Linked DNA regions of Mytilus edulis. The protein of the gene in region 1 interacts with the protein of each later gene in a pairwise test. Links are inferred from orthologs where the notes say so. Each region holds a gene or a part of one and is shown on either strand. Other genes may lie near its edges.

Evidence for each region.
Region 2: the proteins of small glutamine-rich tetratricopeptide repeat-containing protein beta-like (region 1) and metaxin-1-like interact in a two-hybrid assay, tested with the Caenorhabditis elegans proteins (2 studies listed by BioGRID). The link is inferred for Mytilus edulis from reciprocal best matches to the Caenorhabditis elegans genes sgt-1 and mtx-1.
Region 3: the proteins of small glutamine-rich tetratricopeptide repeat-containing protein beta-like (region 1) and soluble calcium-activated nucleotidase 1-like interact in a two-hybrid assay, tested with the Caenorhabditis elegans proteins (2 studies listed by BioGRID). The link is inferred for Mytilus edulis from reciprocal best matches to the Caenorhabditis elegans genes sgt-1 and apy-1.

Annotation. Positions count from the first base shown.
Region 1 is NC_092344.1:72,092,199-72,095,959, forward strand, and holds the start of small glutamine-rich tetratricopeptide repeat-containing protein beta-like, read left to right. Parts: upstream 1-1,051; 5' UTR 1,052-1,146; exon of another isoform or gene 1,147-1,178; intron 1,179-3,761. Other genes in the region: probable splicing factor, arginine/serine-rich 7, read right to left, coding at 614-753.
Region 2 is NC_092347.1:61,937,283-61,941,043, forward strand, and holds the start of metaxin-1-like, read left to right. Parts: upstream 1-1,189; 5' UTR 1,190-1,234; coding exon 1,235-1,318; intron 1,319-2,664; coding exon 2,665-2,740; intron 2,741-3,761. Other genes in the region: ADP-dependent glucokinase-like, read right to left, coding at 797-969.
Region 3 is NC_092352.1:32,467,030-32,470,790, forward strand, and holds the start of soluble calcium-activated nucleotidase 1-like, read left to right. Parts: upstream 1-1,273; 5' UTR 1,274-1,390; coding exon 1,391-1,967; intron 1,968-3,659; coding exon 3,660-3,761. Other genes in the region: ribosomal L1 domain-containing protein 1-like, read right to left, coding at 872-898. UniProt on the Caenorhabditis elegans protein: Hydrolyzes UDP and to a lesser extent GDP. By preventing the accumulation of NDP, may promote the reglucosylation of incompletely folded glycoproteins in the endoplasmic reticulum following the unfolded protein response.

The DNA.
Region 1 (3,761 bases):
TCATGTGGAGCAGGATCTGCTTATCCTTCTAGAGCACCTGAGATAACCCATGGTGGGGTTTGTGATGCTTTGTCTTTAGTTTACTATGTAATGTCTTCTGTACTGTTATTTGTGTTTGTATTTTTGTTTTTTAGCCATGGCGTTGTCAGTTTATTTTTGACCTATGAGTTTGAATGTCCCTCTGGTATCAATTACCCTCTCCCTTGGCCTCAAGTTGAGTTCATGTTTTGGCCTACACAGAATAACATTGCATTCATGTAACAACTTTTCAAAAAAAGTCTAGCAGTCAGTATGACATATACAATTTGGCTAATTTACGAAGAAATTTGTGCTTATGCAAGTTATGGGCCTCTTTATATTATATTTATAATGAGAACGTGAAATATATGTCTTGTTGTAAGTTTCCTCCTGTGACATAATCTTCAATTTGTTGAAGGCGGTCACTATATGGTAAAAGTAGAAGAAGTATATCTTGCTCAAATTGTGTTGAGCTGAAACTATTAATTACACAGTCACTCGTTTCTATCCATGGTAATTTCCACTATCCCCCCAATGATAGAAACAAGTACCTGTGTTACAATGGATACATATGTTAATATTTATTTATTCTTACTCAATGGTGGGATACATTTTAAGATCGTCTATTCGCCCGATGTATGCAAATAATGTCTTCATTTGATCTTTTGATGCGTTCTGGGCAATGTTAGCGACCTGGATAACCTTTGTGGTTATCCGGTCGTCTTTCCCCGCCATCGTCACAGTTTTTTCAACAGTATATTCTCAGCTGGAGTAGAAAACGTTTCCAAAATTGATAAAAATGGACGCCTAATCTGGTTTGGTATATTTAGTAAAAAATTTGTATTGCGAGCTACGAAAAACAGTAATTGTACCAGACCTTCCTTTAATGTCGTAATTGGTATTTTGACGTAATTGTGCATTATCCTGCTTTTATATATCTGGTATGCAATTAAATTATAAGAAAATCAAAATCCTTAAAATGAAACACAAATGCTGCATTTATAAGTTATATGAAAGAATGTCGTTTTAACGTGTTCTTTTACGGCATTTGTTAAAATTGCTTCCGGCGACGTTGAAAGCAAGGAACTTCGAACTTCGAATCTTTGCATTTCACACGATCAGCAAAAGGTTACTGTCAATTTAGATCGTGTCTATTTGAAGTATGTTTTGTTATAGTGTCTTAAAATTTCTGTTGATTGTCGTTCAGATGCAAGAAAACATGAAAAAAGACGGTTTATCTCAAGACTCAACACCGTTGTGTCGTTGAAATAAAACTAAAATATGACCAAAATGCTTTCGAGTCGTTTCGTCCCCACAACCAGGTCGGCCCCAGGTCGATTCTGCCAGTACAATTCGTCCTCACTGGTTCTTAACTTTGTTTACTTGTTGTATTCGATTTATATGGGAAATTGGTTAAAGTTAATATGTATGTGGGAATTTCTAGCTACATTGAAGACCTGTTGGTGACCCTCTGCTGTTGTTTTTTTTAGGTAAACGGACAGAAAGTCACAGGACAAAAAGTCACAGGACATAAAGTCACAAATTTGGTAGGACAAAAAGTCACAGGACAAAAAGTCACAAATAATATGTTGACAATTGTTTGAATATATAGGAGAAATATCTTGAAATATTTACTTTTTAATACATATATACATATTAAAGTTTAGGAAATGTGTCATTATACTTGAAAAATGAAGATTTATTTAATTTTAATCATGTAAAAGAAAGATTTCTTGGCATTATGAAGCCATTTAAGAGCTGAGCCACTTTGACATTTTGTTTTCTTACCACAATTATTTGATTTACTTTGATATTTTTTGGATAAATTTTGTTTACAAAGTTAGATTTTATACAATAGTTCAAGAGAAATACAAAAATATTTTTTAGAAATAAGCGTTTTTTATTCAAAGAAAAAAAGTCAAAAAAAAATGAATTGTGACTTTTTGTCCTGTGACTTTTTGTCCGTGACTTTTTGTCTGTGACTTTTTGTCCTGTGACTTTCTGTCCTACATTCGTTTTTTATTTGGTCGGGTTGTTGTCTCTTTGACACATTCCCCATTTCCATTCTCAATTTTATGTATGTATGTATGTACTGGTAAATGCCTCAAATATCCGAAGAACCCCTCGAAAGCTGCGAGGGTACAGAGGCATCCATGTACACTCCCTATCGGAATTAATGGAGATGTGTCACTAATATATATTTATACGAACATTATTTTTACAAGGACAATCAATCCCAACCAAACACAAAGGGAGTGTTAGGACACTGGGAAGTCTGTTATTATGGTGGAGGAAGCCGAAGTACTCTGAGAAAAACCACTGGGCCACTCGGTGGAAACAGACAAACCAGAGAGATATCAGAAGATTGATCTCCAGGTCAAAGTAGGGGAAAACTTTGACCAACCGAGGCCCCCAAAGTACCCATTCTAGTTTTAAACTCCGGTCTGGGTACCAGAGATGTGTGTGAAAGGGTGAAAATTACCCTTCTGATGTACTGATATTTTTAGCACCCCCAGTGAGAATCGAACTCGGGACCTTCAGCACTGTAGCCATCGGTTCTTAACCACTAGACCACGAACTCATTACTATTAGTAATTTTAATAGTTTCATAACTATTTAAGTATTTCTCCTAATACCAGCCATGTACATATAATTTCTTGTCAGGTTACTTCCCCTTTATTGCAGTGACATTCTGGCTGGGTTGGTGGTCTATTGGAACTATAAATATGACATCACTTGCCAGTTTTAGAGCAGTCTAACGCTACAACATGTACAATTTGAAGTGAGATGACTTTGGCTCACACTTAAGGAATTGTTACAAAGGAGAGTGGACCAGCAATGCAACCACTGTATATGAATTTTTAAATAAACATCTTGTTAACACATTTATATAGTTAGTTCTATATCCTAGAACTTGGCTAGACAGGGACATCTAACAAGAGTGATCCTTAATACCCAACTAACTAGTTTAATGACTTTGAAATTATAGCTTACGCAAGTAAAGAAATTTTGATCGATGTAGAGCATTTTGGCCACACAGTAAAGTGACACTGCCAGTTGGGACAAAGCCATCATGACCATGATTTTTATTTTTATAAAGGGAAAAAACAATTTCTAGAAACAGATGTAAGAAACAAATGGATTTAATTTTTTCTTAATCATACATTTATTTCCTTGGATACAAATATGTGTCTCAGTATATACAAAGTGATAGGTCTGACATAGACCAGTTTTAAATTCTGGTTTGTTTTACCTCTCTTCATCATGATCATTATTTTCTGTTTGCTGATAAACATTTCAAGGAAATGGTATGCTTATTTTAGGGAACTTTGATACAAATTTGCTTGAAACCATATGCTATTAAGTTATGTTGCTTTAGAAAAAAATCAGAAAGAAAATGTGATTTTTTTTTTAAAGCAGATTAAATTTTATGTTTGTTCTAATTTTCGTCATACATTTTGTCATAAAATCGGTAATCTCTTTCAAATTTGCAGGAAATCATGTGCTCCTTTTTGAAGTTATTATATCCAAATTTGATAGAATTGATATGGCATATTTATGATTTATTGAAAAATCTGGAAAAAAATAAATTCTAAAATCATGTAGAAGATTTCCTCCTTTTAATAAAAATCCAAAAGAGGAAGAATGTTTTCCTTCTTTTGTTCAGCATCACAGTGGTATAAACCCAATTCAACATATTTATGCTTCCTTGAGCATATTTAATAAGATATGATGGTTTTTTT
Region 2 (3,761 bases), on another chromosome or scaffold:
TAATTAGGAGGTAGTCTTTACCCCCATTTACATTTGGTTGTTAAAACGACTTTTTACAGTTTCCAATTTTGATCTACATGTACAAGAACTAGAAGGGCATTAAAGTTGTCATATTTTCTAAACAATACATTTTGAAACAGTTTATGGGCAATGAATTGTTAAATTGAACTTCCTGCTGTTAACAAAGTTCAGTTTGTGAAGTTCTAAAATAGGTATGGAAGGGTCATAAGGTTATACAGGAATAGTTGTTGCAATCACAACTACAGGAGAGTTTTTGGGCAAAAGGGTTAAATGATTTTTGAGGTATTACTTGCATATTTTTTAAAATTACTCTGGCTAAAATGGGAAAATAAATCTTGAATGTTGGGTATAGAGATATAAATGCTTTGAAATATTTAGCTGTATTAGTATCAAATAACCTTCTGATGTCAGGCAACCTCTTTTTAATTATAATGTAAAATATTTAAAATTATGACAATAGACCTGCTACAAATGCATATGTCAATCAAAATAAAAGGAAACATTGTATAATTGGTTCTTACTGTGATACATGAACATTGAGAAATATAAAATAAAGGACAAATGCACCACTTTGAGAGTCGATGTAAATTTTATGACAAGCTATAGTGAGAGCTCACAGTGTGCTTACATTTTTTATTTTAAAAAATTCACAAAAATTGGCCAGCGTTCATGACTGTCATATCATAGCATACATGCACTAAGAAGTATTTTCTGCTGGTTTAACATATGATTTGTCAGATAATGTAATCTTTGTGTAAACTAATGATTTCCTTACCCAACAACAAGTCTTTGGAATTTTTTCGTTGGTGGCTTTATGATTTTTTGCCAGGCGATGACAATTCTTGTTTCTGTTGGATTGACTACTTCTACCACTGTTGGGAACCATTTTGAATATAAAACAGCAAGAAAAATAACCACTAGAGCTACAGATAAAGTTTTGGGAAACATGATGCCAACTCAACATTCACTAACCGGTGCCCAACAACACCCCGCCGGAAAATAGAACACTAAAAGATAATCCGCTGGGAAATCGTATCTTGCCAATATTTAATACCATTTTTCATGAACTTTAAATCTCATTTTACAAGAAAATGACAAAAGAATTAAGATTTATTATAGTTCTAGAAAAATATGGATTGAGTTTTAATCTGAAAGTAGAAAAATTAACAAAAACTATTCACTTCCGGTAAAATTATTCCGCATAATTGTAAACATGACAGACGACGTGCTTAACCTTGAAGTTTGGAAAGGAAACTGGGATTTGCCATCAGTTGACAATGAATGTCTTACAGTTTGGGTAAGCAATTAGTTAATTTCTCCCCCTTCTATTTAACAACTTTGAAATAAGTCGATACACACCCTTGTAGTATTTGTTTATTGAACACAGTGCAGATTTGCAACTTTCTTGAACACATGTGTTTCACTGCGATACGGTTTCACTGACACTATGAAGCTACACTTCACTTAACATAGAAAATGAATTCGCTCTATATTAGCTGGCAAAGCTTCATGACTTCTTTATGTAAGTTTGTAGAGCAGTGGCAAATGTGCATATAAGGCACCAAATGAGGTTTTTAGTAGGATCGCATTTACAATGCATTGTCAACTGGGAATCCGGGTCTGTTCGCGCCCAATCACTTTCGCACCCAATCACTTTCGCACCCATTCACATTCGCCCCCTTTCACTTTCGCACCCCACATATTCGCACCCAAATTTTTAGAAAAAAACACAATCATACATCAGTCATATACACATATACAACAAAACATGAATATTCAAGTAACTATAACACAAGTTAATCAAAGTTTAAAAGTCTACTGTTGCGGAACATCTTCAGTTGGTTAGTCTAAACGCCCATACAGTCTGGAGATCACCTTAATGAAGTGTGTAGTTGACATTGCTATATCCATGTAAGAATCCCACAAGGTCTGTATCTTCTGTTCTAGTACATGTACTGTGTAGCGGCGGTGAACATTTCGCTCTAAGTCGACGGAACGCACACTGACATCAACAACCTCAGCTTCTTTCATCAAGTCGGAGACATTAACATTAACATTTAATAATTAATCATCAAATTAATAAAAAAAGATTCTATTCAATAATTTCTCAAATTTTATTCAAATAGAATACATTTATCATGTTTATTTGTTATATTCATATAAAAAATATCTAATAATTTAACTAAAATTTTAATACAAATTGGGCGTGAACGTGTAGGGTGCGAACGGACTTGGGTGGGGGGGCGAAAATGTGAGGTGTGAACGTGTAGGGTGCGAAAGTGTATTGGGCGCGAACAGACCTGATACCATCAACTGGTACAGTGGTACAAATGTACTAAGTTGTGGGTTCCATGATGTACGTTCCAGACCAAGTCATAATTTACAGCCCCAAATATCTTAGGCAGATGCAGCCCCTATTAGGAATGATAAACATGCAGGTTGCTGTTCATTATACTTAGTATTCATATAATTGTGAATGAGTTTTGATATATATGTATGTAATAAAAATTACCGGTAAATGAATGAATGAATACTTTATTTGCAAGAAGCATATATACATACTATGGCAAATGTAAATATAAATGAATGTATTCTGAGTTTCATTAATTCATCAGTAAATAATGCCTTTCTGTTTATTTGCAGGCATATTGTAAATTTTCTGGTCTTCCAACTAAAGTACAGAAAAGTCACCAGACAAATTTATTTCAGTCATCACTAGGTTTGTATTAAGTTAACAATTATACATAGTATTTGTACAAAGATGATATGAGTTACGATGTAGTTAATGTGACTTTATTGAAATCTGTATATTTTGGATCACAATCAAAGTACATGACATATTTTTTCTGTCTTTTAAAATTACTATGTGTTTTTTTTTGTGTATTTTATGATCGGGTTTGGAAAGAAGATTTTTTTTTCTTCATTATTTTTCTGATTGCATTCTATCAATTTTATGCAAAATCTTTGTAAGCATTTCAGGCTCCTTAATTGTTTGTTATTGTTTCAGAGGAGATATATATCAAGCAAAGGGCAAACCTAAACATGATCTTGACCTCAATTTCAAGATATGTACCAAAAAATATAAAATAAAAAATTCTATGTCTAAATGACAAATGGTTTATGTTATATGGTCCGAGACCACAATTGTCGTCCCTTGTTTTTCGTTGTTCACGAATATAGTCCCTAGTGTTGACAGTGGGTTACTTGCCATTAATTTTTATACCCCTTCCAAATTTTATTTCTCCATATTTATTGCCTCAAATTGCAAGTATGGGGGTGAAATTACACTGTAAAAACATTTGGGTCCAGAATTTTAAAGGAAAGTAGTGATTTGGTCCAGCTGAAAAAGGTTGAAAATTAGCACTTCGGAAGCTGTCAAAAGATTTCAAGACGCCCTAAACATAAAATTGTCCATATTTTGAGTTAGAGCCGATGAAGTTTTCTATAATTTTGATATAATTTGTCCCAAAAGTAGTACAACACACTGTAAAAGTTTCTTTGAGAAAGCGCAGGTGGGATTTTTTTAATTTTCATTTATGTTCTAAAAGAAATGCACTACGAAATAATTGTGTTCTCGGACCATATCAATAATGAACATACCGTATTTAGCGTAGAAGGGGAGATAACAACTGTAAGAAGTCAAATTTGATCAAATTAATGATTTCAACAATAAAAAAAAGTTGTTTATATATTAAAGTTTTAAAAGGGAGATGCAATAACATGAAAAGCATTGTTCTTGG
Region 3 (3,761 bases), on another chromosome or scaffold:
TTTCTAGAATGTCATGGGAATCACTATTCCCGAGTTCTCTGATTTTAAAGAATCAAACCGTTAAAGTTGCAATGATGATTTATTTGACATTCTACAAATGGAACATTTGTAATACACTATAATTAAAGCATACAAGTTTACGGGAGTGCATGGTGGTGCGTTAAATAGCTTAAATATGCTTAGCTGGTTACCTTATAAACTAAGTGTTTATATTGTTGCTTCTGTAATAGTTTTCACTGGTGTATCGTCTGCTACCGGGTTCGGAACTGCCGGTCACCGGGATCAGAGTACTTATATTAAACCCTAAAATGTCCCGGCCGGGCCACAGGAAGTGGACCGGCGAATCCCTAATAAAAATGGCTGCGCCCATGGGAAACTATATAAATACAATGAAGATAAATAAATATGCGTAGAATGATATTATATGAATAAAGAAGACATCTAGCGAAAGCGACCACCATTACACAAAGCTATAGTTATTAAACACAAAACCAATTAAAATTAGGTACGAACATGTAGGGTGCGAACGGACCCAGATTCTAGCAAAACAGTCATTTCAGGTCAAAGCAAATTATCTCAGATTGAGGATTGGACAATTCACAAAACAGAAAGGTCCAACCTCATAATATTAAATGTAATTTACATTCGATAATACAACGAAAACAAAATGACAATGTGGGCGAATGGACCCGGTGGGAGAATGAACACGGTTTCAGAATCTTCTTCTTTTGGTATAAAAACTATCAACATTTTGAAGTAACTATAAAACTTATTAAATTAAAACTAAAAAAGTGCAATTTACAGGGATAATGGTTGGACTTGAAAATGGGGATTTGAAAACAATAAATTTTCAACATCTTGTATCATATACCTCGGTTTTCTTCACTCCTAGGCTCATATTTAAGGCAGTCAAAAACTTTAAATAAATGCCAGATTACAGTCAACAAAAACAACGTGCACAGAAAACCGGAACTTCTCGATATTTCATCGTATGGACGCTTTCAAAAATAACCTAAATTAAAACAGACGATCCCGGTTTATTCCACAAGTGAACATTTGTTTTACTCTGTTTTTTTGGATGATTTATAAAGAAATCAAATACAGTAATCACTTCTCAATAAAAGTACAATTGTTACTAGAACGAAGTAAATTAGCACTTTAACAATTTGTTTGCAATAGAGTGGTAATTTTTTATTCTTATTTGTTCGGACCCTACTCTTTAATTTTGTTTCTTCCTTAATTTTTAAACGTTTTGAAGATTATGATTTTTGATATTTTGGAACACTTCGGTTGTTTACCTAATTACTATGGACATCTTTTAGCCACGTCGGATAGAGGTGTTTTAAAAAACATTAAAATTTAGGAATGAACACTCACCAGATGGATCAAAATGCTATCAAGTCCGTCAACTGTACACGATTGGATGCAAGCAATACGTCGACCAACACCTTATAGAGTTGGAAATGCCAAACTTCATTTGAAAACCAGAACCGTTGCATACTTCATGCTGTTTTTTGTTGCCTTTTTAATCTTAATTGTCAACATTTTACCACAAAATAGTTCCAAAGAGAAATGTGACTGTTCAGTAGAATATGATAATAGATATCCTCTATCAAAACCCTACATTACTGACTATGGGTTAACATACAAAATTGCTATGGTCACAGATTTAGATACAGAATCTAAAAGTAAAAAGAAAGCGAATACTTGGCTAAGTTATTTACAGACAGGAAATTTAACATTATCAAGTGACCATAGTAAAGTTACAGTTAAACTGGATAAAATACCAGTAACACTGTCTTCAAGTTTGTCACAGGGTGGTAGAGGAATGGAGTTATCTGAGCTTGTGGTATATAATGGAAATCTTTATTCTGTTGATGATAGAACTGGCATAATTTATTTCATTAAAAACAATGCTGTTTATCCATGGGTTTTACTGGTGGATGGCAATGGAACAAGTCACAAGGGTAATTGATAATTACACTTATATACATTGTATGGACCTGTCTGACCTGTATACATCAGAGGCGGATTTAGGGGGGGGGGCTTTTCTGGGGAAAAGTTGGTTGCTTATATAGGGAATCACTGAATCGTGACCGAAGTGGGCCCACTGACTGCCTAAGAGGGGGCCCGCTTCGAACTTATGAAAAATTCTGGATCTGCCACTGTACATGGTATAAAAAGAACTTATCTTACTAGAAATCAGTGAACAATTTTGTTAGTATGATTTGAATCAGTAAAGACCCTAAGTTAACTAAAGAAAAGCCTCGGTTTAAAAAAAAATCAATTTAAAACTTCCTATGTATCATGGTAATTGAAGAACATCATAAAAATCTGCTACTATAATAAAAATATGAGTCCTGGTCAATACACCTTATTGTAATTTGGAAATCTGTTCTGCTTGACCTGAGAAATTGGACATCAAACAAAAATCACTTTTCCATTGTGGTGATATATATTTTCTATTGTGACGTCAACATTTTACAGGAGCCTTTGCAATGTCCAGTTATGGTGATCAAATAGCAATATAAAGGTGTATCCAAATGTACAATGTCTTTCAAACTGCTTGATTTTTTTACCACCTAACACGTGTACAGCTAAACATCAATGAACACCTTAAGAAAAACACTGTACACACCATAATGTATCTATTTATTTATATGAATGAATGAATGAATATTTTAATATTAAAGTGCAACCTGAATTATAACAAACAATTACATTCATATATACAAGTAATTTTCAGCCAGTCAAATAGGCTTATGATGCACTGTACATTGTGTATCATTATTTAAAAAAATAAAAAATTAACAAATAGATAAATATAGTTCAAATTAACACACAAAATAAATTTATGCACGTTATTAATTGAATTGATCAGATTATCTGATCCTAAAACAATTCAAAATAAAGTAAGAAACAAGCTTGCTGTAATTACAAAATAAATGTTTTAATTTGATGTTCGTTTATGTTTAGAAATGTTACCTGTCTTCCAAATTTGAAAAGAATATACCTACAGAATGATAATTGGATATTAACCAGATTTTGCAAAGTCTCTTGTTAAAGTATTTTTTTAGAGGTACATAAAACCGTAAAAGTGAAAAATGTAATAGTAGACATACATTTATATTGTACTATGCAGAATTATCCATGCATATTTCATATACATTGTACATGTACATGGAAGCTTTCTTGGGCTATATTGAACTGTTTTTACCTGTTAAACAGGGAAGTTACCAATGCACCACCTTGTTTTCTTGAAGTTATAGCAACCCATTACAATGCTGTTAAAAGGCCCTGTGTGATGGTGAGGCCTAAAACAAAATATTGTTTGTTTCCCCAATCCCAACCGACCCTGCAAAAACAGGGCTACTCATGAAATTTTATTGTCAAAACTAAGTCGAAAATTATTTTATTCATTTATGATTTTCAGGCTTGCCACATCGTCTGATATTGTTCAAGCTTTTTGGACAAAAATAAAATTATTTACCTACCTACCTACCCACATCTTGCTTGGCAGGGTCAGGATTGGGGAAACAAACAAAATATTAATTTAGGCCTGAGTAGACACATGTACTTGCAAATATCATGCATGTTCTACAATTAGATAAAAAGAAACATGAACAAAATTTTTTTTATTTCTGCTATTTATCTTTCAGGATTTAAGTGTGAATGGGCAACAGTAAAGCATGGAAGGTTATATGTAGGAGGACTGGGTAAAGAGTGGACGTCTGCTGAAGGCATTGTTCTTAACACCAATC